Linked DNA regions of Astyanax mexicanus. The protein of the gene in region 2 purifies or fractionates together with the protein of the main gene of each other region. This does not show direct contact. Links are inferred from orthologs where the notes say so. Each region holds a gene or a part of one and is shown on either strand. Other genes may lie near its edges. The genes, in order: maea, mkln1 and zmynd19.

Region 1 (11,212 bases), on a different chromosome or scaffold from region 2:
TTCCACTTCCTTTGCAGTGAGAAACATCTCAATGTTGACCAAATCCTGGCAGAATAACATCCAAATTAATTACAAATAACAATCAATAACTAAACAAAACTAATTTTTCAGTAAACACATCCAATATTTAATGTACAAGTTCTTAGTCTGTTCTCATCCTTTTTCCTACACACTTACACATACAAAGCAGAGAGAGAGCTCACCTCAATGCCACTTTGCCTGGCAAGCTTGACTGCGGTGTTGTAGTAGCCGCAGCGCAGCAAATGCTCCACCATCATACGGTCCATGCGTTTCCTCTTCCACACACTGACATTGGCAGGCTGGTCACTGCTGTGCTCCTTTAGATGTTCAATGCGTCGCTTACAGAGCTTAGCACTCTCATCCTCTGCTTGGATGGACTCTGCCGCCTTCACAAAGATCAAAATCTGTTAGAACTCTCCCGCCAACGTACCTGTTAGGCCTCAGTTGAATGTTTACCTATTACAAATTACTTATATTAATGAAATACTGATGACTAAATGATGATTTAGCTGATTTGAAATGTGTTTGTATGTGTGTAACCTGTAAGTGAACAATCCACTGTAATGAACTGTTCCCATGGTAGCTTACCTTTCTTTTGAGTGCGCTGAGCTTTTCAACTACACCGTCCAAGAGTGAGACCACTGAGTCCACCACAGGGAAGGAGCTGCTGAGGGTTTTTTCCAGCTCAGCAACCACCATGGTCACGTGACTGGTCTCCCGGTCTATATTCTTCTGAGCCGCACGGAAGCGCTTATTTAGGGTCTCATAGGGAACCTATAGAGTGCACAAATAAATAGATATTTACAGATAGCTGTGTAAGCAATCATATCAGTATACTGCCGAACTGATCTATTTTAGAATTATAGGTGTGCAATATGAAAATATTTTATAAATGGATTCCCTGTCTAAGTGTTTGTGTCCATAAAGCTGACATACGTGACATGCATGGACGTTGAGAAGAGTTGGATTTCAGCACAACACCAATTTTTTTTTTCTCTGTTATGATTAAAGATTGATTCAGCTTTTACACTGTACATGACCATTGTTCAGTAGATCCAGACGACACTACTTGTACTCAGAACAAACTTTGGTTTGTGGCCCCTTTCACATCTCAACTTCTGAAAATCCGGACTTTATTTGAAGAACTCCATCATAGTTAAAGAAAAAATAGAAACAAATGAAGGCCATACCAAACTATTTTCAGCTTTAAACTGCTTTAATGTGTGAATAAATACTGGATGTTGTTTGAAAAGTCTCTCCTTTAATAAATACTATAAGTGTTAAATGAAAATCTAAAAAAGGAGGCTGATATTCTGACATTAACAGCACTAGCCTTTACAAAAATGTGAGTTATCCACAATATATGGAAATCAATACATTTTGTTGTATTATATATTGCCTATTGTGTTGTATATAAATTGTATGTTTCATTTATTTAGGTTATTACAAAAAAAAAAGATTCCAACTTCAGTGCTTTAATACACTAATCTTAAAGCCCATTACTCTTTGAAGGGATATTATTGCATAATCATGCTTTTATGTTATCATTATATCAGTGGCAAAATGTGGTCCTAAGAAGACAATAATACTGTGTATAAGATGTATTGCTGGGATTACAAAAACAGTTATAGGTCTGGAGAGCAATAAAAATAGGCTAACAAACAGCAAACCTGGGCAGTAATTTCCATATCCACCACACTTATAAGGCTGTAATATAAGGCTGGAGGCAATGAACGTGGTTAGTGGTTAGATAACTAATAAATCATCATCATAATGATCATCATCATCAGTTCATTGTCAGTACATCCCAACGATGCTAAAAGCAATCACTGTCTAACTGCCATGCCTTTAACACAGCACATCACACACATGATCTTTTTGTTCTCACACCTGACAGCAAGCAAGGAGGAACCTGCATCATTTATATTCTGTATACGTGCTCAGCACCGGTACTAGATAATGGAACATTACACAGTGGAACAAATGCTCCCTGGTTTTGCTCCAACAATGCACAAAAGCACTCTCTCGCATCACACAACATGCCTAAGCGTCACGATCGCTGTTTTTATTCCCAAGCACTGCATGCTTCAATCTTCCAGGAGTGGAAAACAGCTAAATCTGTGACGCAGAGAACAAAGGTGGCATGCCAGCCATCAAACATTGGGCTCCCTCACGCCCAGACACAGTGTGTGTGTTCATCTACGCCGATTAAAGCATGTTTTATGGGCTATCCGGAGTGAGATCTCAGCTAGGCTAAACCCGATGCCCTCCACACACCAACACGTACCCCTGTCCGACCCCTGCGTGCATTCCTCCAGCGTGGATCAGCAGGAGCTGCCAGCTCTGGCTACCACACAGCCTTCCAGTCTGGCTTTCGTGGGGGACTAAAGACAGCTAACGTTAGTGGTCACCACCGTCCTGCACTGACACAGTCACGACCACCTGGGTTCCTTTTTAATAAATAACTCCTCTACCATCTAACTAGCTAAAAATGGCTACATGTGTGGCTGTATTTAGCTAGATGAGCCGATGATTATTTAAAAAACAATGGTTGATTATAAGGGCAAACCTAGGTTAGCTAACATAGCTAACTAGCTAGCTGATCTAGCTAGCTGCTCAGTACATCTTGGGTTACGTCATGCTAGCCAAATGGCTAGCCAATTACCTAGCTAGCAACCTGACAGCAGATAGTGATACATTTGAGCAGATAGACTGGTCTAACTTAGGGTTATTTCAGAGCACAAACGGTTTTAGCACAACTAGCAGGCAATCTGCTAGCTAGCCAGCTATGCTAACACATATAACGTTACCTAGATATATATGTGTCAATATAATTTAAATCTGTGGTTCGTTAAATTTAACATGAATATAAAAAATGAGTTAGCTTAGCAATTACTCTCACACAGTGAGCTAGTTAACGCTAGCTAGCCCTGAGCTAACCCTTTTAATTCTTATGTAGGCAGTTGACGCTAGCTAGCTAACTTAACACTATGCATTCCTTTCAGAATCTGCTATAGTTAGTTTTTAGGCCCATTACACTGCAGGATTGTATCTAGCGTAATGTCAAGCGGTCTGTCTTTCGTTATTTCGTAACATTAAAACAAATGAACAAAACCAGTGACATTAACGCTAGCTATAGTTAGCTTTACGTCGAGAATACAAGTAGCTACTAGCTAGCTAACAATACTCACGATAATGTACTTTTATTATGCTACGTTAGCGAAACTAGGTTAGTCCTCAAGCTAACCGTCTTGCCCTTTAACTAGCAAAGTACACGGTCGTTTAGCGAGCAATTTGTTTATCTCGCTTGCTTAGTTTTTTAGCGTTGGCTAACCTAGGTTAACTAGATAGCTAGGTTAACTAACTTACCTAATTACCCTGAAATAAGTGGATTTAGGTGGATCAGTAAATGGTCGTTTGAGTAATATGTGTATATCGTGGGTTGTTAGCTACATTTGAAATTTCATTTATTTCACTCATGTCAATCGTGCATTCGCATTTACTGTGCTAACGTTACAATAGTTTGAATTTAATCAGCTATAATGATCAGTGTAGCGTTGTGACAGTAGTCTGCTTTAGTTTTTATTTATTTATTTTTTTGTTAGCTACATAACATAGATGTTAGGCCCGTTTGCCTGTAGAGACATTTATAATGTCAGTCAGCCAGTCTGTCTGTCTGTCTGTCGTTATTTGAGGCTCAGCCTCCACAAACCAGTTAACTACAAATTCAGTACAGGAACGTTAACCTAGCTAACGCTAACAACGCGTCCAGCATACGATAATGTAGCTGTTTTTATTAGCTAAGTTACTGTTAAAGAAATGCGTAAAACAGACGGGCTTATTAATACTGGTATCCCTGCAGTGTCAAAAGCCCTCGATGTCCGTTCACCCCTCTCTCTCCTTCATTGTATCTACACCTCTCTCTATCTCTCGCTGACTTGTTTTGCTAACTCGCTTTAGCCCCGCTAGCTTGCAGACTTCTCGCCTGGTTCTCAATCCGCTGACACCTTAATTAACCTGACATCTCCCCCCATCATCAGTCTAGATCAGCCCAGCCTAATCCAGTGCTTCAGTCCGCGTGCTGTGAAGGGTGGAAGCGGCGCGTACAGACCTTCAGAGTCGGGTATTCCTGAACCTTCAGAGCCATGGAGAGTTGAGCAGCTGTTTCTTGCACCGCCATCTTCGTTTGGGGAGAACGGTATGTGCTCTTGCTCGTCGCTCGCCCTCACTGTAGTTCTAATGGAGAACCTTTCTCTACTGACCCCTAACGGCACCCAGTACCGTGTTCGTGTTTTTTTGCACCCTGCATGCTGGTACACTGGTCAGGGCCCAGTTTCCCAAAGTATCTTAGCATTAAAGGAGAAATTCGGTGTGAAATGGACTTAGGGGGTAGTGAAAAATGAAAACGAGTGCAAACCATTGTCAAATAGCCCCCAGACTTTAGAAATACAGCATTTTGCTGATGCTACCAACAGGCTTACAATGCTTGCGATAGGGGCATAGCGTAGCCATGCAAAGAAATCAACATTTTCACACCACTGTTTAGAAATCACAATTTTTATGCCCTGTTTTATAAAAAAAGGCTGTTTATACACACACTACCTTGAGGTAGTTCTCGATAAGTCGAGCACACATGAATAGGTATTTTTCACAATATAAGGCATACTTGAAATCCTTTTCCCAATTTTTTCCAAAAATCGTCAGTGCGCCTTTTAATCCAGTGCACTTTGTGTATAAATTGTGTATTCATACATTTCCCGTGAATTATTTTTTTAAATTAAGTTTGTACTCGTTAAAGCTTCTCGCTTAACCATCTAAGAATTATTTTACTGCGAAGGACCTTTGCTGAAACCCACCCAGAACCCAGTTTCTACAAAAAACTGTGAGCATTTAGATCTAAATAGCTAACTGATAGAAAGAGAATAGTGTGTATTACTATTGTGTTCTAGTAAACAGAAATAGGTAGAACAAAAGTCAGCAAGGGTCCGGCCTATTGGTATTTTGGTGAAGTAATATTAATGCTCAGTTACAGGTACTCAAGTAGTGTGTAAAAAATATTGATATATCATCATATCAAATTATTTTGTATTGCAATTTGTATCGATTGTCAAAGCGCAGTATAGCTTTTTAATTATTTTACATACAAGGTGATATACCCTGATTTATTTAATCAAGATTTTATTTATCTATATCAACCACGGCCACTGGAAAGTGTTTAGATCCTTGTTCTGATTGCACAAATATAAACTTTCTTTGACTCAGACATAATAAATATGATAGTATGTTCTTTGTACTGTGACAGTTTTCCTACAATTTAATTTAATTTAAACAATCAAAATATATTTAAATATAAAATATATAGCTTACAGTATTACAATATATAGAAATTGTGAGATTTTGAATTGTAACAGTTACATTTTAGTCTTTAACATTTTACCACTGATAATTTAAACAAATTGCTGATGCTCCGAATATTTGCCATCCAAAAATATTTAGCCAAAATGTAATCTTAATTTAGACAATGTTTAATAATATAGTGCTTTGTTATGTCTGCTGGGATGTTAAGTGTTTTGTAAATGTTTTTTTTTTCTTTGAAAAGCAAGACAACAGAACATTGATAATGGTGAAATAAGTTCCCAGTAAATGATACACATAAATATTACCTGTCAGGATTCCTTGGGTAAAATTCACATAATTTTATTTAACAAATAAAATTAATTAGTTACAATAAAAATCACTGCTTTTGTAAATGTTACTAAAACTAAAATACAGTAAGTATAGACAATACACTTGTCAGAGCTAGTTTTAAAGTGAAATACTTTGCAGGACAGAACAGGAACTCAAAGCAGAGGGGGCACAGTAATCCAACTGAGGGGGCATCTGGGAATAGAAAGCCCTGCCAGGTGTACTGTCTGTACTCCAAGGACACACAGTACACCGTCCTCCAAGAGTGCAATAGGAATTCTGCTGTACTTGGCCGGAGTACTGATTTGGAGCACAATAGCAACACTGGGCAGTATTCCACACAAGGCAAGTGTAAGCAGGGTGGAAAAAGTGTAGTTGTTTTCCACTGAAATAAGTTGCTAGGAGTTAGCCATGCATGCAACAGGTATTGCAGTAAAACATATATGTAAAAATGTTCCACTATCCATTGTTATTTGAGCAAGAAAATGTGACTTGGTTCATAGAAATACCAACAAAATAATGTGTATGGTATTGTAAATCTTCAGTCAATCTATGCATACCTAAAAGATTTCAAATTTCAAAGTTTCAAAATTGTACAGTACTGGGGAGAGAATAAAGTGTCCTTCAATATTTAGTAATATGTAAGTAAAGTACCAGATGTTCTTAAAAATTAAAAAAGAAATGAGTAACCAAGTACATAAACACAAATGTTTTACACCCCTGCTAGTTAGAACATGAGTCGCCTACGCTTATTGGCACACAGCCTGTGTGTTTGGAACTCCTCAAAAGGAAGGCTATGCTGATGTACTCTACATAAAGGGCACCACTGTAAAACGCAAGTTTGTAAAAGGGGTGTGTCCTCAGACTTCTGTCAGATCAGTTACGGGTCAGGCTTTTAGTGAGGGTTCCCTTCTCTTTCTCACAATGTAAATTATAAAAAAGATCATTATACTATTATTATAAGATTAGGTTTGGGTGTTCCCAAGCCATCCTGTTAGATAAAAGGTCTTAATCATTTTAAATACTGCTGTCCCATGACTTCACAGCATGACATAAGTGGGAGTGTGTGTGGGGGTGTGTGTATCAATACACACATATATTTAGTTTTCAAATACCATTGGAAATCCTACATGTTCGTCGTACAGTAATACTGATAATGTTGGAATGATAGAATATAGGGATGTGTATTGGCAAAAACTTGGAGATACAATACACATCACGATTACAGGCTTACAATTCAATATATTGCAATAGAAATGCTTTTGGCACATTTTAGACAAAACTGTTCTAGTATAAAAACACACAACATGTTTATAAAATCAGAATGAAAGAAAAGTTAACTGTTTATGCAAATTAGAACAGTGGGATCTCACGACAGTGTACCGGTACTGCCATCTAGTGATTGGGGTTTAAACACAGCACAGCATGCCTGTGTTGCCAAGATAACAATGAACGATGAATGTCTGACTGTTGATTGTTGCCTAGGTTGCATTCAGTGTACCTGTGTTTCCACTGCATACATAGCAATACGCCAGAACCTGAACACACCTTACTTCCAGAGCACCACACCTATAGGCACAGATATGTTCGTAAGCTCTGTCCCTGTTTAAGCGATGCAGACGGAAGCGTAAAAAAAGGCTGTTCGTGGGGTGTAAGGTAGCAATTAGCAAAATAGGGTCTAAAGAGAGGGATTAAGTCTATGATTCTATTTTAAAGAAAAATCTCCATTCAGAATGCTGTGTAGTCCCAGACTATGCTTAGTCCATGTCTAGGAAACCGCCCCAATATACAGTGCTTGCAAAATTATTCATACCCCTTGAATGTTTTCACATTTTGTCACTGTACAACAACCACAAACTTAAATGTATTTTATTAGGTGAAAAGTTCAGAGGGTATGAATGCTTTTGCAAGCCACTGTATTTTTGATAAAAATCTTGTTTTGACCAAACATTTCTGTTTTTCAGATATCTGTCACCAAAATTTCAAACAGTTCTGACTCGGTAAGATTCTCTCATACAGAGCACATCAGGCCACTTTTGTAACTTTTGTTCACATCTTAAACTTTTAATCAGATCATTGGAGTTCCCCTTTTAACCACAGTAGGAGAACATGTTTTAAGCTGGGTCTTCACCGTGCCAAAACTTTCATTTGATGAAAAAGAGCTATTTTTCCACTCTCTGTCCATCCCCTCCTCACCATCCCCCCATTACACTCGTTCACCTCCTCCCTGCCTCCCTCTTTCCCCACCCCACAGCATGCTCAGATTTCGGTTTCCTGCATGAAACCCTCCCCCAGTCAGCCTGAGCAATGAGCCACGATTCGATTGGATCTTTTCCAAAGGCAGCCCACGGTCGCCAGGCCTGATTGGTCCGTTTCAGTTTTGTTCCCCTCCTCTCGGTCCTCATGCTTTACCCAATTCCCAGGCACACTGAGGGACTGAGCCTCCAAAGCGGGTGATGCAAGGTTTGTCATTGTTTTTGCCCCCCTTTCTTTCCCCCCTCTGAGCTGTGTGTGCTTGTCAGTGCCCGGCCTCTGAGTGCTCTGACACAGGCTTTCTGTTTCTCTCTCTCTCTTTCTCTCTCTCTTTTCCACAGACAGGGAGAGGCAGTCAGGGGCTGGTTTGGTGGGGCTGCCTTTCTAGCTGACACACTGATTTTGAGGGAAGTGGTAGTTTTAGAGGAAAGAAAAGAGAGAGGGAGAAAAGAAACAGAATGGCCGAGTTGGAGGTGGTTGTGATAGACTAATATCGATTATAATATCGATTAATATCAGCCTATCAGTGGCATTTCTGCTTATCTCAATATAACTTCACGCATGGTTGAGTGCCGGTTTACGCTTGAGCTCAGTTGTGCTTTCTGTCTTCAATTGAATTTAGCTTTTCTAAGATTTGAAGACACTTCATTGATTTCTTCAGAACCAGTCACACTTCAGTGGAAAACACACGCCCCCCATGCACTGTACTTACAAACTGACAAAAAACAGGTCTTGATTTGTGGGGGTGTACAAGAGGATGCAACCCCCCCAGTGTGGAAACAAAAATAAGAGAAGAATCATTTCCCTCTAAACTTTATCCTTATCAGTGGTTTGATATGTATACATGTTCTTGAAAAGATGCCATAGAAAAAACATTTTTGTAGAAGATTCGAAGAAGTCAAAAAGGTTTTTCTATGGCATTCCTCTAAGAACTTTAAGACTGTACACAGTGGACAAAAGTCAGAATCCAGTTGAATCCAAATTACATTATGTACGTTATGTACATAAGTACAAGGTACAATTTTGTTTAGAGATATAGTACTATTTATAAAGTATAGCTCAAATTTAACATATAAACTGACATGTCTTAAGGCATTTTAAATAGCACTATTTAAAATGATTATATGAACAAATGACATATCATGGGCTGGCTTGGGAACACATGCAACACATTCCTCTAGTTTTATATTAACAGAAACTTCACCCCAAATATTTGCTGCTGTTTTCCATTTTCACACCTACTCATTAAATTGTCTATAGAAGCAAAAATTGGGTCCTTCGGCAAGTAATTATAATGTTATACTACGTCATAATTATGAGATCTGATACATAGTAAATTCTCTTCAGTGTGATTGGATCAGAATTAATCATTGTGGCTGTTCAAACTGTGTCAAAGAGTGTATCAGATTTCATGACCACATAAGAAAGTGGTTCAAATTGATGTTGATGTCAGATTCAGTGTGTGTGTGTGATGGAAAAAGAGGGGTGCTCACTGTGTTTGTGTGAGGTGGAGAGAATGTGGGATCTGTATGTGTGGTGGAGAGAGAGGGAGGCTTGCTGTGTGTGTGTGTGTGTGTGTGTGTGTGATAGAGAGGTATAGAGAGCGGTGTGACTGCTGTGTGTGTGTGTGTGTGTGTGTGTTTGTGTGTGTGTGTGTGGAAGAGAGAGGTGGGGAGGGAGGGGGTGCTTGCTGTGTTTGTGTGTGTTTAGCCCGAGTGCTTGATTAAGCTTGTTAGCTCACTAGCCTGTTGTTGTTATTTTGGCGTGGTTGCAGCCTCCAGTTTCAGCCATAAAGCGACGACTGTAAACATCTTTCTTGTCCATCATTTCAACGTGTCCGGCCGGATACTACGGTATTTTTTTACTGAGGAAAACGACAAAAAAGGAATGCACAGTGACATGGATGAGTAACTTTAATCTGATTACTAGATTGGGAATAGTAATGTGTTAAATTACTTATTGCTAAAAAAAAAAAAAAGGAAGTAAATATTGCTTTACGGCTCATTGGCTGTGAGAAATGTACATACAACCCCTTTACAGCGGCCTAACTTTAGTCATAGAATTCAGAAGTCAACATAGTAAACAAAGTAATGTTAATTTAAGTCTTTACCGTCCTCTGTAGAAATGCTCCTGTCTGCAAGGCAAGATGGCTTCTAAATGTGAATTTGAAACTTAAAACCTCTTTTTCAGCAGAGCTGCACATACAGAGTGTGTAAATCAGGCCATCTTCAGAGACACAGCAGAAAAGACGGCACGCCTACCCCTTAAAGATTCCACCGCAGGTCGTGAAGATTTCCACACAGCGGTGTTGCTGGATGTGTCAGGTCTAATCAGAGCCGTGCTATCAGAGCCTGATCTTTTGCACGTTTCTCTGCTTCTGCGATGAGCACAAGACGAAAGCAAGGCGACTGCACCTGAGTGGTGTAGACCCGTGGGTGAATATTCCTTTCAAGAGTTGGGGAAGACCTACTGGTCTGTTTTCTTCAATACCACATTTTCTGGTTTCACATTTACTCATGGTTCCTGCTTGTGCTAAATGCTTAGGCGTGAGACATTGTCCAAAGGTCAAAGTGAACCATGTCTATTGTGTTTAAAACAATAGGGCCTAAAATCATCACGCAAGCCTCCACAATGCAACCTGAAGGATTATTTGAGGAGTCTTGGCAGATTGATTCTTTCAGCTGTATTTATTTAACTGAAAATTGGCCTTGAGGACAGATGTCAGTTAGGAGTCAGAAGGATGAGGGACTCAAACAGTGGGCATTTAGTTGGAAATGAAAATTGGCTTGATGTCAAAACCAATGTTGGCCTGACATCCACTGCCAACAGACATTACAGTTTGGATAGAATTCAATGAAATCCAATCACATATCAAACCAACAATGTGAAATAAAACCAACAACATATAAACACTTACAAGTGCTACACCTGTTTTTTTTTTTTTTTTACTTTTATCAGCATTTACAGTGTGACATATAGCAGATGTTTCAATAATATGTAGGGATTTCATGTTGTTGTTTTTTTCGCACTATAAGGCACACTTAAAGTCCTTTAATTTTTCCAAAAATTACAGCATTTAAGGAGCTTCAGTAAAGTACCAAGGCTGGAGCAGTATTAGCATTAGCCGCAGTGCTAGCTCTTTTGTTGTTTAGAGGTGAGTATATTGGACTGTAGTCTGCGCGCTTACCGTGTTAAAACTACATGGGAATAACCACTAGCTGATAGCACCCTGGCTTACCGGAACACTCAAGGA
Region 2 (10,785 bases):
GACAGGCTACAAAGTTACAGGTAGTCTGAACCATTACATGATTAAGCAGCAATCATGCAATCTCTCTCTCTTTCTCTCTCTCTCTCTCTCTCTATATATATATATATATATATATTCTTTCTCTTTATCTCTTTCTATCTATATTATGCTTAGCAGTATGTCAATATTAGAGGTGCCAGTAAAAGGCGACTATAAAGGGACCTATAGTCTCATATGGGCTACAGTATATGTGTTGTAAATTAACTAGTACATCATATGTTGTGTTATGTGATGAATGCTAAATATTTGGTCCAGTGTCCTTGCTGTTTCTTCATATGCTCATGCTGAAGGCCTCTGGCTGACACTCCATCAGCAGGGCGTAGGAGCCTGCCTGGGGCTGGCCTGGAGCAGCATCAGCTTCTTAAATAAAGATGAAAGTACACTAAAATAATGTTTAAAAACTATTTTAATTTCATTCTATATTTTGCTTGCCTATGAATCAGGCGAGTCACCAGCGCAGCCCCACCGTTTACAGTAAATGAATGAAGTTCTTGCCAAGAGCTGGACGTGCACTTAGGAAAAATTGCATTATCTCCAGCTCCTTACATCAGCATGCGTCCGGTAAGAGACAGAGTCTATCTGTGGCATGATTCACCGGAGCACAAAGTGCCTTTATCGTCAAGGTCATTTCACTGGCTGATAGCAGAGAATGATAATCAGCAGTCAGACACAATTAAACTGGTTTGGATGTGGATTTTATCACATCGTGCTTGTGTGTGCATTAGGAACAACCTGACCTGGACAGTTAGAGATGAGAGAGGAGGGAGTGAGAGGATACTGAGAGAGTATTGAGAAAGAGAAAGAGGAAAAAAGGCAGAATAAGGGCGTTTTCACACTTGCACTTTTTAGTACAGTTAAATCGGACTCTCTAGGTTTGTTTTCACCCTTTTTCACAACCGTTTGGACTGGTGCAAATACAGTTCAGCTCTACTTTACCAAGTCTCCTCAGAGGAGTTGGTCTTGGTCCAATCCCAAATGAGCTCTTGAGTGGTTTATTTGGGATGAAAATGGGATCCAACCTCAATCTGGACCAGCTATCAAGTGTACTCAGCAGGTGCTCTTTAAACTGGTATGTTACCCTGACAATTACTGCAGTTATAAACAAATCCCATCTCAGCTGTCATCTTGCATGCTAATTGCTTCTACTAACTACTTTGTGACTATGTAGGATATAGATAAAAGTGTCAACATAGAGTATACTAAAAATCTCCAATGCATACAAGGAATTAGGCATGTTGTATGGTTACAGGAGACACAATTTTCCCATAATGAAATGCCAAATGTAAAGTAAGGAGCTGCGCATGTCTGAAAAAATTTGGAATAAAAAATGTTGGATATTGATGCAATTGCAGCAGCCATGGAGGCCAAAGAGTAAATATTCATACCTTTCTTAATAATAGATTTGCAAAGATCTTGTCAAAAAAGAGTCTTTGCAATGTTTAGGCTTTCCAAGTACTAGTCCCAGGTCCCATGATATCTGCCATGCATGGCAGCTAAAGAATGCTGCACTGAGCTGTGGGTTTCTGATTTTTGAGTTGCTTGCCTGTTCTCATGGACAAGTCTTGCAAGACTCCATCAGTCCCAATCATTACCACTCACTGCACTGTTCACTGCAGGTGGTAATGCCTTCTATGATGTATTCGCAGTACACAACAGACTTGTGTATTATGTGGTTAGAGAAATGTTAAAGGCCTTTACAACTTCAGAAATAGATGTTTCCATCCATCTGGCACCCCTCTATCAAGCCTCTAGGATATTTTATAATTTACGCCACCTTGCCATGAGCATGCTGGTCAGTTTCCAAACTAACTTACAAAATACCATCTCACAGCTCTGAGAAACAATATGAGACCATTTCAGTTTCTGAATTACTTTTTCTCACTTTGCTAATTATAGGTATATGTTTGAGTAAAATGAACATTGTTGTTTTATTCTATAAACTACGGACAACATCGCTTCATCAATATTTGGTGAAATAACCCTGGTTTTTAATCACAGTTTTTATGCATCTTGGCATGTTCTCCTCCACCAGTTTTACACACTGCTTTTGGATAACTTTATGCCACTCCTGGTGCAAAAATTCAAGCAGTTCAGCTTGGTTTGATGGCTTGTGATCATCCACCTTCCTCTTGATTATATTCTCATAACTTTTAAGTGGTCTCTTATTTTTTTCAGAGCCGTCCCGGAGGTAACACTTCAGGATCAATTCACATACTTCTATTCCATGACCTTTGGCATGTCAGTGTACTTCTCAATCTCAATATAACAACAAAATGTGCCATTTTACCAACGGTGCTCAATAATAATTGAGTATTATGTTGTTAGTGCTAAAAGTATGTGCTTCCTTTTAGGTCTTCATCACATCGGGGTGTACTGCTGATTGTGTGAACTCCTGAAGAAGGACGTCCAGTGGCTGGTAAAAAGACCCCCCTCCAGAGAAGTGTATTAAAGAGGATTACAGCCCCCCTCCTGACTCCTTTCTGGCCGTGTTTCTGGACTGGCCCTGTGATCTGGCAAACTCTTACAGTCCGGGTACAGTCATGGACAGCTGCCAGTGAGCCACTCACCAGTGCAACAGCGAAACAGAGGAATCCTGTGAGCTCAAGCAGAGGGCTTTAGTGAGCTGCTAATCAAATAAAAGGAGAGCTGGAGAAACATGAGATTTATTGGTCTCAGCATTGTCCTCTCCATCAGTCCAAAAAGTTCAGGTTCAGGGGTGGTTCAGGGTGAACTGCACTCATCAGGAGAAATGCTTCGTTCTTCTATAATTAAATGTCCAAACAGGAAGAGGAAAGAACAGGGAACAGTGTTAACACATGGCAGGTCAATGCCATTCATTCAAGCCTGGCATCCACTAGACACACAGGTTGAGAATTGTTCTTAAAAATAAACTCTACAAAATTATTTAAAAAACACGAATAATAAACCTGTTGAAGTTCATGTCTGGCATGTTTAACATTGTTGCTTTTGCTTCACATGTTCTTTTTAGCACAAATCTGATGAACAGTCAAATCAGTCAATCCATTTGGCGAAATATAGTGAATTTTGGTAACTTGTAATCAAGTAAATTTAAAAGCTAACAGTTAAATTTGGGTCATATTGTAACACCTTAGCCTTTGTATGTCTTGTGTTTTTCCTTTTAATTGTCGTTCCTGTCCTGCTTTTTAATCAGTTTTGTTTTCCTAGCCATGTGCTTCTTAGCACATGGTTCTGTCTTGTCTCCTCCCTTGTCTCTGCCTTAGCCCCACCCAGTTACCCTGCAACCTCGTTTCCTCACCCAGGTGTTTCCTGTTTCCCAGTTTTTATATATACTAGTGTTAGTTTGCTGTTTGTTTTATCCACATTCCTGTCATGTTTTGTGTCAGTTAAGTTTCTGGTTGGTTTTCTTTAGTTTGTCTTTCTTTGTTTTAGTCTTTTTTAAGTCTTAGTGTTGTTTGTTTCTTTGTCTCAGTTTTGTTCTTTATTTGTTTTTAAAATGTCAGAACATAAAACTGACTTGCTTTTGCATCCCGCCTCAAAAGTGTTACACATGTACTACATTTCTAACAACACTCGTAAGTCTTCGTAAGCTAGTTAGCTATGCTATAACATTAGATGAAGGGTTGGGTTAGCACAGCTAGCTATTATATAAGTAGCTCCTGCAAACTGCATTTACTTAGAAAGCGATACATGTTTGAAATAAAATGACTGGATATTATTTAAAAATTTATTTGAAAACCTCCTAAAAGTAGGCGTGGCAAAATAAGGTAGATACTGACTTTATTCATTTTAAACCAATCACAGCAACCAACATTTTCCCCTCAGCATTAAAAATTACTACTTCTCTCTCAAATACTTTAGCAATCATAGGCCTACAAGTCTCAGCCTCTGTAAATGAGTGAACTGCCTGCTTTGAATGTGTGTGAAATTGAATACAACTCTTTTTCTAAGTTCTTTAATGAAAATGATAAAAGCAAAAAGAAAACCGGATTAAAGTGATGCAGAAATCTCAGGATGATTACAAAACCAACACTGAGTTTTTGAAATGGCTTAGTTTTTACAGTCACATAAAGGGACAAAAACACTGAAAACCTCACAAGTTCACAAAACACTTTTTTTTCCCTCAGGCTTTTGGTGATTTGTTCATCATCATAAAGGCGGAACAAAGTATGAAAACCAGGACTAGTTTATGGGTTATTATGTATTCATCATAACATGAATATGCATGCTGTGCAGAAAAGAAGAAATGTTCCATGGTGAATGTCTTGGATTCACTGCTTGGCTTTAGAGTGTATTCAGTGCACAGCCTTCCCAGTGCTGTCTGTAATAGGATTCTATATTCCACTGGAACTGGAGGCTGCTGAAACAGCCAGTATTGGTGCCATTATCATAGTCTGAAAGGCAGCCATCCAAGAAAGAAGCCCCTGCTAGAAAATTAACACCATCAAACTCTACAAAAGGTTGCATCTGACCACATCAACAAAGAAAGGGCCTTTGGAGGAAAAAATGTTATGGTCAGTTGGCAAGTCAAAGCTATTGTAGCGTCATTGAAGACAGAAATGAGACTGGACCATGCTCCCACTGACCAAAATGAGTCAATGAGCAGAGATTCTCTCTTAAAACGGCGGACCCTCCACCCCAATTCCAGACAGGCAAACAATGACAACAAGGCCACACAAAATATAACCCCCTCAAACCAACACAAACTTCCAACAACCCAAAATAAAGAGAAAGGGAAACCAGTGAGTATGCCAGCCAGGACTTATGGACAGATGAAGTTACATGTGCTTTCCATATAGGTTACAGAGCCTGCATTTTAACAAATTGTGATGAAATTATAAGAAAAAGTGTATGATATTAATTTAAAGAGCACACACAGATCTTTCTGGTTTAACTTTTAAATTATTTTACTGTGATTATTATTTTTTTTATTATTATTTTCATTTTTAACACCAATTGTTAGAAATAGTTAAAATAAGATTCAGGAGTTAGCTTCAAAGTTGACTTGAGTTTATGCTCCAGCAGACAGAAAATTATACACAAGCTCAGCTTGTTAAGTCACCATCTGGATTTAAGTAAGTAAATGATGTGGGGCTGATGCTGCAGTTGGTCTGCAGGTCTAGGTACAGCAACAGTATGTGCTGAAAGAATGAGGTCAGATGACTACCTGACTACCTGAATAAAGACCAGATTATTCCATCAATGGATTTTTTCTTCCCAAATGGCACGGCCATATTCTAATACCAGGACTCATGGGGCTGGAATTGTGAAAGAGTGATTCAGGGAGCATGAGATCATCATTTTCACAGATGGAATGTTCACCACAGAGTCCAGAATTTAACCTCATTAAGAATCTTCGGGATGTGCTGGAGAAGGCTTTGTGCAGCTGTCTGACTGAATAAATAAATGTTATATTATTTACGTGTGCAACGTGTTTATTATCCCATAGCTCTTTTAACTGATAACTTTTTTAAAATGATTTTTTGAAATAAGGGACAAAATATGTCCTTCATTTTGAGAGATTATTGAATTAATGCCACAATGAATGTGGGCCGGAATCAAAGCTAAAGTGGTCCAACAAAATATTAGAGTGTGTGACCTGATTTTTTTGTGGCCAGGCACATATAAAACGAGAAATGTCATAAAACGAGAAATGTCTGCAGAGACGGATGGCCACCAACTCTCAACAACAGGTGGTTGAGGGATGCAGTGTTTTTAGTGTCAAGGGAAATAGGAAGATCGGGAGTGAGACAGTTGAAAACCTAAAGAAAACACAATTTGTTGTAGTCAGAATCCAAATGTAGGAGGGCATGTTTTGTCCCTTATTTCAAGAATATGTTATCAGACACGTCAATAATATAATACCAATCCATAAATGTATTAAAGCCTGCCTTTTTCGCTGCTTTATTTAGTAAGTAGATAAGAGTTGGTAACTAGATAAGCTACTTATTCCAGAAAATGATAGCTAACCTAGTTGTTCTTTTTCCTGCAGCACCGTCTCTTTAAGAAGCTGTCACTCCCACATTAGACTTGTAGATTGCGTTACTTGTTATTTGTGCAACAAGATGGCGGTGGCTCCCGAGAGCAGAGTGCTTTCCTACAGTGTTTATAAATGGAGTTCTTACTCCTCGACATATTTACCGGAGTGAGTAACGCCGCGAAAAGCCGCGGGAGTCTCTGTTGTTAGCGCCTTTGCGGTGTCGGTGTCAGTACAGTGCAGAATATTAAACTCGGGGCCTGACTTGGACAACGGGCCGAGCAGCACTCCACCTACTAAACTGAGATAGCACTTAGCTAAGCTAGCTAACTATATTAACGGATAGCTTAGCTAACTTACCTGTTTATTACTTAAATTATCTAAAACACTAGGCTGACTGAGGCGCCATGATTAGTTAACCGCTTTACTCAGCTATTTAGCTGCAGCAGTTCATGCATTTCTTTATTGTTTGCCTTTAGCTAACAAGCAGAGCGGGCTAGCTTAGCTTAGCTTAACTAAACTACCTAGCGTTAGCTATCCAGGTGCAGATAGCATTAGAATTAGCTAGCTAGCTTGCTAGCCAGCTATCGGTAGCTTAGATAAGATAACCTAAAGTGCACATAGCTAAACGTACTTAACTGGCTTATCGGGGTAATATTACAAGAAGTTAGCTAACTGTTAATTAGCTAACCTAGCTAATATACATTAGATAAAGCTTGTAAAGCTGTAGCTAGGTTAACATAGCTTAGCTTAGCCAGGCTAAGCTAGCTACATAATGTATGTGAGGAAAACACAGGGTGAACTGACAGCTCGCTCCTCTTCATATTACAGCAGCTAGCTAGCTATAGATACCTTGCTCTATTTACCTTTTATAGCCTTTATAGAATTCTAGCAAATGTCTCTCTTTTATTTATAACTTAAACTATTTGTGTCATCGTGCAGCTTTGAGAACTCGGGTCAGAGCCAAACCCAATATTAGCCCTAAGTTTATTTTTGGTGCTTCATGAATCTTGCTTGTTGGCTGTTTAGCTGCTATTAGTGGAGTAACGTGAGACACCAAAAGCAGTGACCCACGTTTACACCACTATTTCTGTCTCTTGTAGGCTATTTATCACACATGTTATCTTGCTAGCTAGTAAACTAGGTTATGTAAGCAAAGCCTTAATGTGGCCAAATAGTATAAACTAAAAACTAGGGCAATCGAACCTCTCTGTGTACCGTGTAATGTAATGCTATTTTGTAACGTTAGTTTGCTAATGCTGTTCATACACTACAAGACTTTGAACAGGCTCTTTAAGGATTTTAACAGACTAAAGTCTGACAACCTCTCACATCTAAAGACAATTCACAGACGTTTTCGTCGAAGACTTTTTAGTCACAGACTTTTCAGTCACAGGCTAAGGTTTTGCAAAAACTAAAAATCACTGTTTGCAAGACTTCAACTAGATTCTTTCTGAGATTATTTCCCATCATGGTTCGGGTGGAGTTCACATACAATACATATTACATATTAAGTTACAAATAATGCTATATCAATACTATGATTTATCAGACGCACAGCTTTTGTCCACAACAACAACTGTGTTCAACTCTGCCTATAAGCTTTGTTTTCCCCCCTTTTTGCTAGAAAACTTGTATAGCAAAGAATCACAGTTTCACTGCTAGACATTTGGCTTTGTTTTAGATATAATTAATGCAATTAAAAACAATTCTTGCAAAATATGTATTTTTAAACATGTATGAAAAATAACACTGCGCAAGAAGACAAAGTAGTGCAAAAAAAAAAACTTTAAATATAGTGACTTTAAAGTGCTACCTGTGTTTAAAATACTGTAAATATGTAAGTAACAACCATGTAAGGCATATTAACTGCAAATACGTTCTTATTCAAAAAGTTTGTAAACAGTCATGTAAAATATCCTTGTCTTGTGGCTTCCCACAGCTCTCCTATTGGTTGTTAATATTGTTCTAGTCACTCTTTGCGTGAGCTTTCAATCCTAACTACCTACTACTAACACTGAACGACCGTGATGAAGCAACTGCAACTCGACTGAAGCTCAACTCTAGCAAGAGTATCCCAATTCTGGAAATGTCTGTGACAGTGAAATGGCTTGAAAATCATTAGATGTAAGGTCGGCATAATCTAGCTAAGAGTCTTACTCAAGTTTACCCAAGTTACATTACCTTCAGAATGTTGCTGAAAGGCTTATTTTGTTAGTAATAGGAAAGCCGGTTTAGGAAATCTCACCAAACATGGCATTTACTAGCCAACTAATGCTTTGCTTTCTTTACCTGCAGAAACATTTTGGTGGACAAGCCCAGCGACCAGTCTTCCAGGTGGTCCTCTGAAAGCAATTATCCTCCACAGGTGAATATCTAAACTTCATTCTGCAACATGTTTCATATTTGTGATGTAGAATATGTAGAAAGTTGCCTACAGAATTCAGCATTCAGATTTACTGAACATCCTAAGAGTTTATCTGATCTTCTTTACAGAATGTAGGAGTGACTGGTTTGTTCTGAAGATAAAACTAGCTTCTTTTGAAAGTTTATTTAAGCACTTACAGCTCTGTTTCATCCATTTAACAAATAAGATATACAGGTTAAGAAAGTGTTATTTTTATTTGTGTATGTAAGGATTTTAGCCTTAAAATAGTTACATTCCTGTGCATACAGAGAGAAACCAAAACGTTAGAGGAACTATGGAGTTTTAAGCCCCTTTTGAAGAGTAGTAAGCCCCTTTTGCAACAGTAGAGTACATTTTATAAGTAGTAGAGTTTGTTATATAGTATAGTTAGACTTTAGTCGTTGATTTGTTTGTCTGCTTGTAGCATGAATGTGCTAATATTTGTATTTTAACATATTTTTATAATGAATCATACACCCTGAACTGAATGCATTTGGCTTGAAAGAGGGAAAAGTTGTTTGTGGCTGTAGTTGCGTATTTAAATTATTGATCACTCTGTGTATTACATGTGCAAAGTCCTTGCATTTGTACTTTTGGAAAGGGCAGCACATATCATCGATTCGTAGATATAGTATTTCATTTTTATGGGCCGTTTTTTGTGAGCATTACTAAAATGTGCTCAGAAGTTTTGAACATTGGAAGTTGGTTTATTTTTTTTTCTAAAGCATTTTTCAGGGTTCAAAATGTAGTTAGGTAAATGGATGTTGTTGGTAATTAAGATAACCAGCTAATGTTTAGTTTAAGTCTGAAATAGATATTCCTATGCACAACTGCACTGCAGAGTGCAAAGTGTCGTTAAATGAGTTTGCTGTCTCTGCTCTTTTCTAATACTCCCAGTTCTGGGCTAAGTGATGTACTGTTGAGAGGGGTATCTGGCCTGCAACTCTGAAGATTTTATCTGATTAGTGTGTTTGTGCTGAAAATTATCTGATGACTGCATGTGGTAAATCAATATAAAATCTGATCGCTGGTACGAATCCTGGTTATACAGCTTACCTTCAGCTGAGGGAGTCCTGAGAGAGCACAATTGGCCTTGCTCTGTCTGGGTAGGTAAATGGTGCTCTTTTAAACACATCACTCCTAAGGGTGATGTTGATCAGCACAAGGCGTCTGTGAGCTGATGTATCAGAACCAAGTCGCTGCGCTTGGAGATTTTTCTAGAAAAATTAAAATATAGTCAGAAATATGCATAATCTACACAAAATGTATGTAAAAGTTATTTTCCTATTATATTTGCTCCTAGTTGCTGGTACTGTTGGTTTAGCAGTTTAACTTATTTAGACCATATCAAGCAAAATTTAGTTTTTCATTTCAGCATTTTGCAAACAGAATTTTAAGAAAAATTAAAAGGATAATTTTCAGATTTGTCCATTTTTGTGTCTTGTAAGACAAATCTGATGGTATAATTTAACTTGCAGAATACAAAAATGGAAAAATCAGAAAATAAAGAAAAGTTATTATTTTTTTTCCCCAGAAATTCTGATTGTGAGGGGCAGAGATGAGAAAACTAAAATTGTAACATAAAATACTACATTAAAACTAAATAAACTAAGTTTTTACATACAATTTTCTATTTTTTCGTTTTGCCTCAAACACTCCGAAAAATAAATTAATAAACGTTTCACTGTTACACTGTTGCATAATATAAACCAGAAAACCTTAAAATCACTCAATCAGCACAGACTGCCAATGTTGCATGTGTAGTTACTAATGTCAGTTTCAGTTACAAAGTTTGTAAAATGCTCAACAAATAATTCTTGCTTTGTTTAGGTCTTAATTTATAATGATAAATGCATATTATTCATTATTAAGCGTTATTTCACTATTTATTTTTGCTCAGATCTAATGAAGCTGGTCATGAATTCTGTGCTCCACAATATGATGACCATGTGTTTCTTTACATCCCAAGATGAACCTCTTTAGCCATATTCCGGTTCCTAATCTCATTTTGGAAAGAGGAAGTGGCCTGTTGTCTCCTTGGCATGCAGCATGCAGTGCTGTCAGTCTTGTGGTTAGGCAGAAAGGAAATCGAAAGTGCTGTCTGGGGTACATTCTCATGCACATTCAACTTTTAACCCCTGTTTTCACTAAAAGCCTGAAGTGCTGTGGTGTTTTTGTACCACACCTACCTCAGCCTGACAAGGCAGGTATACTTACTGTGTGGACATGTGATAAAGCTACTTGTTTTCATGTGATCTACAGACATGTTCATGTCAATGCACTGGCTTTTTAAAACGTATCTTTTTTAGCTAGTGTCGTGTTTCGTTATTTCCATTTGGCAGTGGTTGTGGTTGACGATTTTCTTTGCCATTGCTCCATTTCA
Region 3 (10,955 bases), on a different chromosome or scaffold from region 2:
CTCCTCAACTGGGTCTGCTGGTACCTGCTGGATGGCCAGCCAGTAGAGTGACTGCTCTCTGTGGAAAGACCACACACACAGATAAACACACTAAATCTCAGGAGGCAGACATAAGTAAAAGGCATAAGACTTTGCTGAATGTTCCCTACTGAAGGCCAGTCATTTCAAAACTAAAATAACAGACTTAAGAGCACTTTCCTATGTAGTGTTTACACCAGAACATGGTGATCTCTTACTGTAATTCAAGAGTCACTGTATTAGATTAAACTGGTGGCACCAATCCTCCAGGAGGGAGCACAGTAAACTTAGGTTACCTCTGTTTGCTGGACAGCTCCTCTGGTTTGGGACTCCAGCCAACAGGAACGAGGCGCAGGTTGTCTAGACGGTTGTCCACTGTGACTGAGTTAATGTGGACGACTTGGAAACTAGGAGCAATGCCACCTCTGTGCTTTTCCCTGTACAAACACACACACACAACAGGTTAAACTTGAATATAAACATCCTTCTTTTTAACAGATAAATTCACCTGATACATATTCATGAGAACAATTCTACTCATTAAGAACCTAAAACTCACCAAAGTAATTCATGCAGGGGACGACCAGCCCATCGGCCTTTACCAATGTCAAAAGCATATGCAAAGATTTTTGCTCCGTTGCCGTCGGCATCAACCTCCATGCGAGCCTGAAAAAAATCATTAAGCACGTTAAGAAATTAAGTTTCGTGCTCAATATGAAGAAACAGAACAAGCTGTGAATATAAATGCTTATAACGAAGACTTAACGAAGACACAATACACTTTTTCACCGAAAACCTGCATAATTTATTCTTTACAACTGCAAATTTAAACATCAATCATTAGATAGTTTATATATATATATATATATATATATATATATATATATATATATATATATATCTTTTTTTTCTTCCTTGGTTACTATTCTTGTCTATTTTACTTAGTGATAATGTAAATCTGGCAATTTTTTTTTACAATGTGTTAGAATTTAATACAGATGCTCCAAAATTACTAATGAGCTTCCATTAAATGTTAAGAAACCCGTTTCCTTCTCCTTTAAATTTGCCATTATAGAGAGAAAGGTTTTCGGTAAGATTATCATTCTTCTCAATTTGGTATAAGCAGAAGTATATATGTATGAGATGTTTTTATTTTCAGCACCTTGAAACATAGACTCAGGTCCTCCAACATATATAGTGACCTACAACATTGCAATCTTTGTGTGTTGTTTTCCAAAGCTAGTTAAATACAGTCTAAATAACCATTAGATAGCCTGTTAAAATGTTGTGTTAGCATAGCTAGGTACTTTATGATCAGTTTCCACAGCAGTCTTTGAACATACCACCACCATAAATCTAAAATTACTGGAAATTCTAACACAAGAGTGAAATAAACAAAAAGTGGGTGTGGCAGAATAAAATGGACACACAGACAGAGTCTAATTCCTCACCTCAAAGGCATAGTTTTCCACCAATGGTATGTCCTGCTCATCTATGAGGGTGTACTTTGTCTGAAAGAGAAAGAGAGAAAGAGAGTAAGAGAGAGAAAGAGAGAGAGAAAGATCAATCAATCGTTATTATTGAAGTCACAAGCTATTTAGGCTGTCAATCACAATCCTCATATCACAAGAAATTGAAAAACCCTTTTTATTTTGGATCATTAATCATGAACATTTGATTTGTTGTTAAAAAAAAAAAAAAAAAAAAAAACAGCTGTGTCCGATTCAGATTTTGAAGTAAAAAAAATAGTAGATACAAAAAGACATGTGACAGTGGTGACATGCATCACAGCATGTGCAACACCAATACAAACAGCCAATAAAAAGCATTCACTTCATCTAATTTTTATTAGTGGAGTAAAATTGCATGCCCAAAGACTAAAATGCTTAAGTGCTGAGATAATGACAGATCTCCACTGGCATTGTGTATTAGTACACATCATTAGTCTACCAAGGCCTTCAGTCATGCAGCTCCAGCCCACACCTATCCAAACTGATCTCTGTTTACCAGCTGCCCTCTAGTGTCACAGCAGGAGCGGCCTGGCACAGACACACTGGAGCTATAGCTAGATTTATAGCCTAAAATGACACCAACAATACAATTCCCAACTCAGTTCCTACTAATCTATAAAGTGATCTAAATTAGTAGTTAACTAAATACTTAATCTAGTCATAGTAATAGTAGAGAATTTAGTCTATTTTTGGACTAATGATAATATTAGATACATCAAATTAAAGTTATAGCAATAAGAATTACAATTTATTTTCACTAGTAAGAAAGCAATTATATGTAATTGTAGTTAGTTTGATTGTTTTTACAATCAAAAATGTCACTATTCATAAGAGAGTGAGGGAGCATTTTACAATAAGCATATCAATTAACAGTCATAAACGATACTAACTGGTTAAGCAATGTCTGGAATAACAATTATAACGCTATTAAACACTGTAAACATAATAAAACGTCATTATTAATAAAGGCTTAACTAACAACATAATCTGTTGTAAGTACTGTTAATTAAATAATGTACTGTTATTGTAAAGTGTTACTGTGAGTAAAATCCCAAAATAACATTACAAACAGGTATTGGTGATGGGGTTGTGACTAGTAAAAATAACAGGAACACTTTACTTAGATGGTCAATGTATGGCATCATTGATGCTCAACTGACATTCAACTGCATGTCTATTAAATGCAAATCAATGCTATGTGGAATGTAAATAACACAAAATAGAACCGAACCCTACGCCTAACCCTTACCGTAACCATTTTTTTAACCCTAAAAATAAATGATTTAATTATCTATTCAGTGTAACCCCACACCCAACTCTAACCCAAACTTTAATCTTAACATTTAGAGATTGGGTTAAGGGTTAGAAATGTTATAGTTAAGGATAAGATTAGGGTTAGGTGTACGGTTAGATTTTAGGGTTGATTAATGATTGAGGTTATGGTTAGATTTTAGGGTTAAATAATAGTTAGTTCAGTTCTATTTTCAATCATTTACATTCCACATAGGGTTAATTTGCATTTAATAGACGTGAATTTGAATGTTAGGTAAATGTTAGACAATGGGGCCATCAAATGGACCATCCAAGTAAAGTGGTACAAAAATAACATTAGGACAGATGTTTATGTTGAAGATGTGGCAAGTAAAAAGAACATTTAAGACTGGTGAGAATTGTGATGGTGATGTGGCTAGTAATAACATTAAGGGCAGGTGAAAATGGTAAGGATGGCTCTGTTTTTAGCACAGATCTGATATTAAAATATAGTACGTCTAGCTAAACGTTAGATGACACCTGAAGTAAAAGTCTTTACTACGAAAATTGCTTTACACAGAACTCTAACTGGGAGATAATAGCCATTGTTGGTGTGATTTTAGGCTGAAAAGGCTTGACTAACACAACAATAGCAGCAAAGCTAGGGGCTAACTTGCTAAGCTAGCAAGCTATAGACCTATAGTTACACCGTGTAACCTAATGTTAGCTCCCACTGTAGCGAACTAGGTTAACTGTTACTGGGTTATCTAGATAAATAATAGCTAGCTTGTGATCTCTCTATGTTATGTAGTTTAATACGCTATAGATGCGTAGTCTTTAGTTAATCGGGCTAGCTGTTGTACGTAGCCCGCTGTTGAAACTCCTCCACTCAGCAGACATGCCGCCGGTTTGAGTCACGTTGCAGCGGTTCCTGGTTCAGAGATTTGCCGACTCGTCTCCTGATTAAATGTCCGGCTAGCTAACCGAGTGCTAAGTTCATTTAAGCCGGCTGCTTAAGAAACATCGTGTAGTATTTTAAACCCCACGTTTCGTTAAATGAGTATCTTAAATTATAAAAAGAGACATGCTGTTTAGGGCCACTATCCACACACACACGCGCTCACCAGCCTTCATAAACCCTGCCGTTTATTTTGCTAGCAGGTTAGCTGCGTTAGCTTCGTTAGCTTGGAAGCTATTCCGGTGTTCTGCCGAGTTATGCTATCCGTCGATACGCGCTTTCTAAAGGCACTGCGCATGCGCTCACCTACACTTTTTAATTATTTCTCCGTTTTTTTAATATGATAAGTGTGTTTATTATCTTTTATGGTTTTTTGAGCATTAAACAACCTGGACTCACAGTCATTGCACAAAAGAAAAAAATGACAATTAATAATAAATAAATAGAAAAATAAAAAATACAAAAAGCAGTTTCTAATTACCTCCCATTACCTTAGCTAACTTCACCCTAATACAGTGATTTATACTATCCAATATATATATAAACATACAGGGATCATGCTCTAATATGGTGCTTCATTTGTATTTTTGCCGCCTTATATATTTTGCCTTAACCATTTCAGGCCACTTGCCACAACAACAGACATGCGTTTTCTTTTTTTCCTAAATGTTTTGTTGCGCAGAACACTAACGTTAATTGAGACCATTTGTTAATCAGAATAGACTAAAAACGATCTTATGAAACAATAGCTTAGCCCTGCCCACTGCAAAAATCCTAGCACTAGAGTCACATAGGCAAATTAAAAAAGCTATTTTTTGTACTAATTGTGTGTGATTTAGAACACTTTTTACCATGTTTATTTTAGTGTTTAGGGATGGCTTGTGAACAAAAAGGACAAGATCAAATCTAAAATCAAAAAATGTTAAGCACTGGCCTCCAATGCAATAGACATAAGACAGTTACTAAATTTATTTAATTTGATTTAATGTTCGTATAGATTTTATATTAGAATATATATAACACATAATTCAGGTCTGAAAGGGTTAAATACAGCTACACTAGGGAAGCACGGTTTGACAACGTAGCACAACTCGACGGAACACCGGTAAAATCGCTTATTCGACCAACAGACACGTTCAGGGGGTGTGTGTTTTAACGACCATCGTGCTGTACTGTAAGTTAGCCGCTGATTTATGCGTTAATCTCTAAATATTGCTAATAAAAGCCTCCTCGCCAGCTCTGTGATCCCCTCCCCTTCGCACATGGCAGTCCCCGGGATCGGTCTCACCTTCCCGGCCACACGGCCAAGTCGAACAATCCCGAGCTTGAAATCCGACATTAGACGGACGGTCTCGCAGGTGATGAGCGGAAGGTTTTAAGCGCAGGTCTGGCGGTTCTCGGGTCTGAAGGCAGTCCGGGCAACCCCTCACCCCGAGTTCCCTACAAGTTCTGTTGTCTGCGAGGGTCAGCCGCTGCCCGACTCTTCCCCACCCGCTACCAAACCACCGCGATGCGCCGCCGCTGAGTGGCGTTGGAAAACCTGCCAGAGAGGGTTGCCAGGTCCAACAAAAATATCCAGCCCAAAGTCAGTGTCAAACCCGCCCTTCAGAAGCTTAAAGCCCAAAAAATATACAGCTCTGGAAAAAAAGAAATAAGAGTCCACTTAAAACGATGAGTTTCTTTGTTTTTACCTAATTGAAAACCTCTGGAATATTGTCAAGAGGAAGATAAATGATCACAATCCATCAGACCAAGCTGAACTGCTTGAATTTTCGCACCAGGAGTGGCATAACGTTATTCAAAAGCAGTGTGTAAGACTGGTGGAGGAGAAAATGCCAAGATGCATGAAAACTGTGATTAAAACCAGGATTATTTCACCAAATATTGATTTCTGAACTCTGAACACTGCACTGTCACTTTACAAAGACAATTACTGTTTACAAACACTGTCATTATAAACTTAACTGAGACACTTATGCTCTTAATTCACACTATTATGCTGCTATAGCTAACTTGCACTCTGGACTTCATGCTGCTGCCACCTGCTTACTCTCCCTATTTTTTGTGTGTTTATCTTGATGTCTATTTTGTTCTATTCTATTTTATTGTATTCTTGTTTTTATTTTATTTTATTTTGTCTATATGTATCTATTTTAACAATTGCTCCTGGGTGTAAACTGGATCGTGAGACCACAATTTCATTCCACCTCATGTACCACATGTGATGCGAATGACAATAAAATCTCCTTGAATCCTTAAAACTTTATGAATATAAACTTGTTTTCTTTGCATTATTTGAGGTCTCAAAGCTCTGCATCTTTTTTTAGTTATTTCTCATTTTCTGGTCTACATGACCATATTTTTATTTGGTATTTGGGCGAAATGTTGTCCCTAGTTTATTGAATAAAACTACAATGTTAATTTTACTCAAATATTTACCAGAAAAACTGATTCAGAAAGTATAGTGGCCTCTTACTTTTTTTCAGAGCTGTATGTCTGTCACACGTTTAAAGCAAATGTCAAAACAAAGATGAGTGTACGACTTATTATTTTGTTTATAAGGGATTCATTATCAGTATTGCTATTTATCATAAAGTCATTAATAATATTGTAAAATTTGTGTTTCATCAATTATTTTATAACAGTTTCATATCCAAGTCAAGAACATTTAATCTCTCTCTCTCTCTTTATCTCCCTTATGTCGTTATGTTCTCCTGGTTCTTATTGTACACGTTTGCCCACCGTGTTCATGTAACATTCAAGGCAGCACACTTGATTTTCAAACATGCTCAAATTGGCGGGAGAATCTCGAATCTGGCAACTCTGCTGCCAGCGTTCACAGGGGGCGGGACAGAGCCCTGCTTCAGCACACACCAACCCCTGAAGAACCCCGAGCGCCTCAGCCAGTTAAAACGCCGCGTATTTGACTGTGTCTGACGTGTGCCTGGCTGCGTACTGGGGTTTGATCCCAGCAGCCAATCAAGGAAGGGAATCTCACTGCAAGCTCCTCCTACCCGCCCGCTTCCGCCGCGTCATTGGCTGGCGCTTCTCTGAGCGCGGGAACGTGGCGCCGTTTTAGCGCGAAATTCCGAGTCAGAGCGTGAACAGATAACCTAGAGCAGTGCTAACTGCTATATACTCAACTAGTATGCAACAAAGTTTTAGTGTTATAAACAGAGGTGTCAAGTTATGAAGTACATATACTTTGTTACCTTGCTTAAGAAGAAATTTTGGTTATCTATACTTTTAACTGGAGTAAAGACGACTTTTTGCCTCTCTTCCTGACTTTTTTACACAATTATCTTAACTTTCTACTCCATATATTACATTACAAATAGCCTTGTTACTTTTACTATTTAATTTCAGCTTGTTTTCATTCCGGATCCATGATCTTTAAAAAAACTATCCAGATAAATCTCTTAAAAACATTTTTTATCATCCCCACCCTTAAAATTACTTTTATTTTTATAATTTAAGTACTTTTTAAACCAGTACTTTTACACTTTTACTTGAGTAAAGTTAATACCCCAACTTTATACACTTTAGATAATTTATACACATTTTACACATCATATTATACACATTAGATGGTTGTTAGTTTGAATTGCATTAGGACTGAAATATTAAATGCAAGACAAAAAGCACATTCTTAAAAATAGCATAGTCAGTGTCACGCAATTTTTTATTTATTTTTTGACATAATATGTATCTAACATGTCAAAATTTCATGATAAGTGTATTGCTACCCATCCAGGGTAATGATTATCTCTAAATGTCCCAGTTTCGTAAGTTCATTGTCTTACTGTGTCTGTTAAATTGACTGATTAGACTCTGGGTGCACTTGCATGACTGTTTTTCATTGATACTGCAGAATCATTAGACTTGACTACCCCATCAGCCCTGGTGGCTCCTACAGGTAGAGTTGGACAGGCAGTGAATTGGTAACTGTGGCTCTGCTGTAGCATTATTTAAAAACAATACAACCATTGTTAATATAGTCAGTGCTGTGTAAAACCATACTTCACCAAGCCTTCTCTGATCTTCTCTGTTATGTTCACCTTAAGGACATGTATGTTGGTGAGAAAAAGTCTATCAGTATATATTAGTATAACAGTGTCCAGGTTTTTGTTAAACATTGGTGGCAACTCTAGGACCAAAAAAATGTCAAATAGTACTTGAAATAAACTTTCTTTAATTGGCTTCCATTGAAAGATAAGAAGTAGTTTTCCTTTACCATTCACTTTATTTTTGTTATGAGGACAGAAATAATTTCTTCCTATATATTTGTGCAGGTGTCAATGAACAGACCAACAGTGCATCACCATACCAGACGTATTTCAATTTTAGGTGACTTTCTACTGTAAGTCAAATAGCATGTTATTTAAATGTATTATGCAAAGTCTTTTTGTTTTTTTTTGGCATAAAGTTTTGTGTGCATAAAGATTTAAAATGTGAAGCAAATACAAAAAACACTAGAATGTATCCTGCTTCAGTATACCCTGGTTGGCTTCAACACACTTTGGAATAAACATTGCTGTGATTTGACTGCATCCAGTCCCAAGGGCACACCTGAGAAAGAGAGCGAGAGAGAGAGTATGTGAGTGTCATTATTGTGCAGTAGGTCTGTGAGAGCATGAGCCACTGGGTTGACCATTAACATCAACCTGCCATTGTTTTCCCATTCCGCCCACTCTGGCTCTTTACAAATGGGATGATTAACTTGGATCTCAACTCTGAAAGCTGCTGAGGGACTCAACTCAGTTAAAGTCAACTATCCAGTTTAGTTGGCTGTCCTGTGAAACTAGAGAGCACTTCCTCTCTCTCTCTCTCTCTCTATCTCTCTCTCTTACTCTTTCTCTCTTTTTTCTTTCTCTGCATCCCTCTTACTCGTTTTTTCTCTCTATCCTTATCGCTCTTTTTCTCTCACTTACTCTCTCTCTATATCTTACTTTTTCCCCTCCCTTAGTCTCAATATATCTTTCTTACTTTCACTGTCTCTTGCTCTCTCTCCCTCTCTCCCTCTCCCTATCTCTCTTTCTTTCTCGCTCTCTCACACTCTCTCTCTCTCTTTCTCTCGCTCGTAAGTTCTCTCTCTCTCTCGCTCATTCGTTCTCTCTCTCTCTCTCTCTCTCTCTCTCTCTCTCTCTCTCTCTCTCTCTCTCTCTCTCTCTTGGAAAAACTGGATCCTCCACCTGGAGCTGGAACTTCCGTGTTGTACACCTGTGACAGGTAGGCCAGGTAGGCCTGGGTGGCAGAACTGGATGCACCTGCTGCGCAGCTAAAAGAACAGCTGAGAAAGGGTAATAGCTATAACTATCTAAGCTTTGTAAAGTAGAGTTTAACGCTGTAGCTGCTGTTTTTAACACAGCTGAAGACTCCCACCTCTCTCCAGCAGTCATGAGTGCTGATTACGGACTTTGTGACTTGGCCGTGGTGTCGCTGCGGGACACCGAGCAGGAGGAGGAGGACCCCGGACTCCGGGGGTCTCAGAAGGAGCACAATAACAACAGCAGGAGCAGGAGCTCGGTGGAGGGGTCTCCTCTCTCTGACACTCTGTCTGAAGACCCCTGGATAAACGTAATTCCGTCCCTTTACTCAAACGGCTCGGTGGCGGGGGCGAGCCCCGCGGCGGACTCCGGCTCCCCGGCTGAAGTGAAGCTCTGCCCCGCACACCAGTCGGAGCTGGACCGGTACTGTAACACCGAGCAGAGGCCGGTCTGCTCGCTGTGTGAAACTCTGGGCTCCTGCCAGGGTCACACAGTCACACAGCTGACCGAACGAGCTACGACCGTCAGGGTGAGTTACTGAAACATTAAGGTAACGTTGTGACAGAAGAATGTAACTCAACTTGTGTTGTTGTTTACTGTCTGTGTGCTTCACATAGGACATAACATACCCAACACTGTGGTTAAGAGATCACTTTAATTTCTGAATCAGTTTCTCTGATTTTGCTATTTATAATTATATGTTATAAGCCAAATTAAAATTGTTGTTTTCTTCTATAAACTACAGACAACATTTATTCCAAATTCCAAATAAAAATATTGTCATTCAGAAAACTGCAGAAAATGAGAAATGGCTAAAAAACAAAAAGGGAGGGCTTTCAGACCTCAAATAATGCAAAATAAAATAAAAAGAAATTATTAATATTCACAAATCATTTAAGAGTTCAGAAACCAATATTTGGTGAAATAAGCCTGTTTTTTTTTATCACAGTTTCACATATTTATCATATTATGTCACAATAAAGATTTAAAGATGATATCCTGTGATAAAAATTATATCACGATACACAGTAATAATCAGAGAAGTATAAAAACAAAGTAGAACTACTTCACTGTTTTACCTGTATCTACTGGAGTATTATTCTTACTCATACTTTAACTTTTACTTTAGTACATACTTTAAATGAGTTTAATATTTTTACTCCTATACATTTTTATGTGCTGCATCCTTAGTCACTACAGTTATACAAAATGTTACACAGCTGCCTCAGCCATGAGTGAATCAAGCTATAAAGCTGTTCTTGTAAGTAGACTGCTCCCATTGCAACTTTCCACTGCTTTCTGTGATAAATACATAGCACAGCATTTGTACTTTTACTTTCAGTATGTCATTAGTTATTATACATTTTAGAATAAACTACTTGCAATACTGAAGTACAAAGTATGCTGCATGCTTTATTAAGTACTACTTAGGTCACTTTTTGACTTGGACTTTTACTCAAGTCTCTATCGCTAGTATTTTATACTGGTAATGTCTGGTAATAATTGCAAAATGTTTAAATCAACTAGACCAGTTTGTGCTCATGTGCTGTTGACATTGATGGCATTCTATGCTACATTCACTTCTACCTACTAGCAATGGGCCATATGGTGAACTATATCACAGCATTTAAGACAGTACTGTTGCACAATATGCAGTATTTAGCAATATTTCCAAATAGATCGATTTTTGAATGAACCAGTTTGTGCTTGTGTGTTGGACATAAAATTAGGAATGCACCGAAAATGTGTGCAAACATAAATAAAACATGTTGTTCAGCTGAACAAGTGATAATACTTTTTTGATAATTAATCTGATGTGATGTTTAAAAAATCTTCAGTTCAGTAAATTTTTTACAATGTAAAACTGGTTTGCAATCAGCCTCAGGACAAATGTTTCATTTGGTTTCAGTTTCAGTTCTGTTAAAAAATCTTTTCCGAAATCACTACATA

What was found.
Region 1: the proteins of mkln1 (region 2) and maea purify together in Homo sapiens (affinity purification with western blotting; 3 studies listed by BioGRID and IntAct, with this or other methods). This does not show direct contact. The link is inferred for Astyanax mexicanus from reciprocal best matches to the Homo sapiens genes MKLN1 and MAEA.
Region 3: the proteins of mkln1 (region 2) and zmynd19 purify together in Homo sapiens (affinity purification with mass spectrometry; 3 studies listed by BioGRID and IntAct, with this or other methods). This does not show direct contact. The link is inferred for Astyanax mexicanus from reciprocal best matches to the Homo sapiens genes MKLN1 and ZMYND19.

The regions. Positions count from the first base shown.
Region 1 is NC_064417.1:22,352,187-22,363,398, forward strand, and holds the start of maea (E3 ubiquitin-protein transferase MAEA), read right to left. Parts: upstream 4,241-11,212; 5' UTR 4,202-4,240; coding exon 4,133-4,201; intron 2,455-4,132; exon of another isoform or gene 2,309-2,454; intron 796-2,308; coding exon 610-795; intron 408-609; coding exon 204-407; intron 46-203; coding exon 1-45.
Region 2 is NC_064409.1:8,362,298-8,373,082, reverse strand, and holds the start of mkln1 (muskelin), read left to right. Parts: upstream 1-6,067; 5' UTR 6,068-6,083; coding exon 6,084-6,163; intron 6,164-8,293; coding exon 8,294-8,363; intron 8,364-10,785. UniProt on the Homo sapiens protein: Component of the CTLH E3 ubiquitin-protein ligase complex that selectively accepts ubiquitin from UBE2H and mediates ubiquitination and subsequent proteasomal degradation of the transcription factor HBP1.
Region 3 is NC_064408.1:19,971,334-19,982,288, reverse strand, and holds the start of zmynd19 (zinc finger MYND domain-containing protein 19), read right to left. Parts: upstream 5,262-10,955; 5' UTR 5,078-5,261; coding exon 5,027-5,077; intron 1,530-5,026; coding exon 1,470-1,529; intron 685-1,469; coding exon 578-684; intron 456-577; coding exon 315-455; intron 59-314; coding exon 1-58. Other genes in the region: bspry (B box and SPRY domain-containing protein), read left to right, coding at 9,136-9,534. UniProt on the Homo sapiens protein: May be involved as a regulatory molecule in GPR24/MCH-R1 signaling.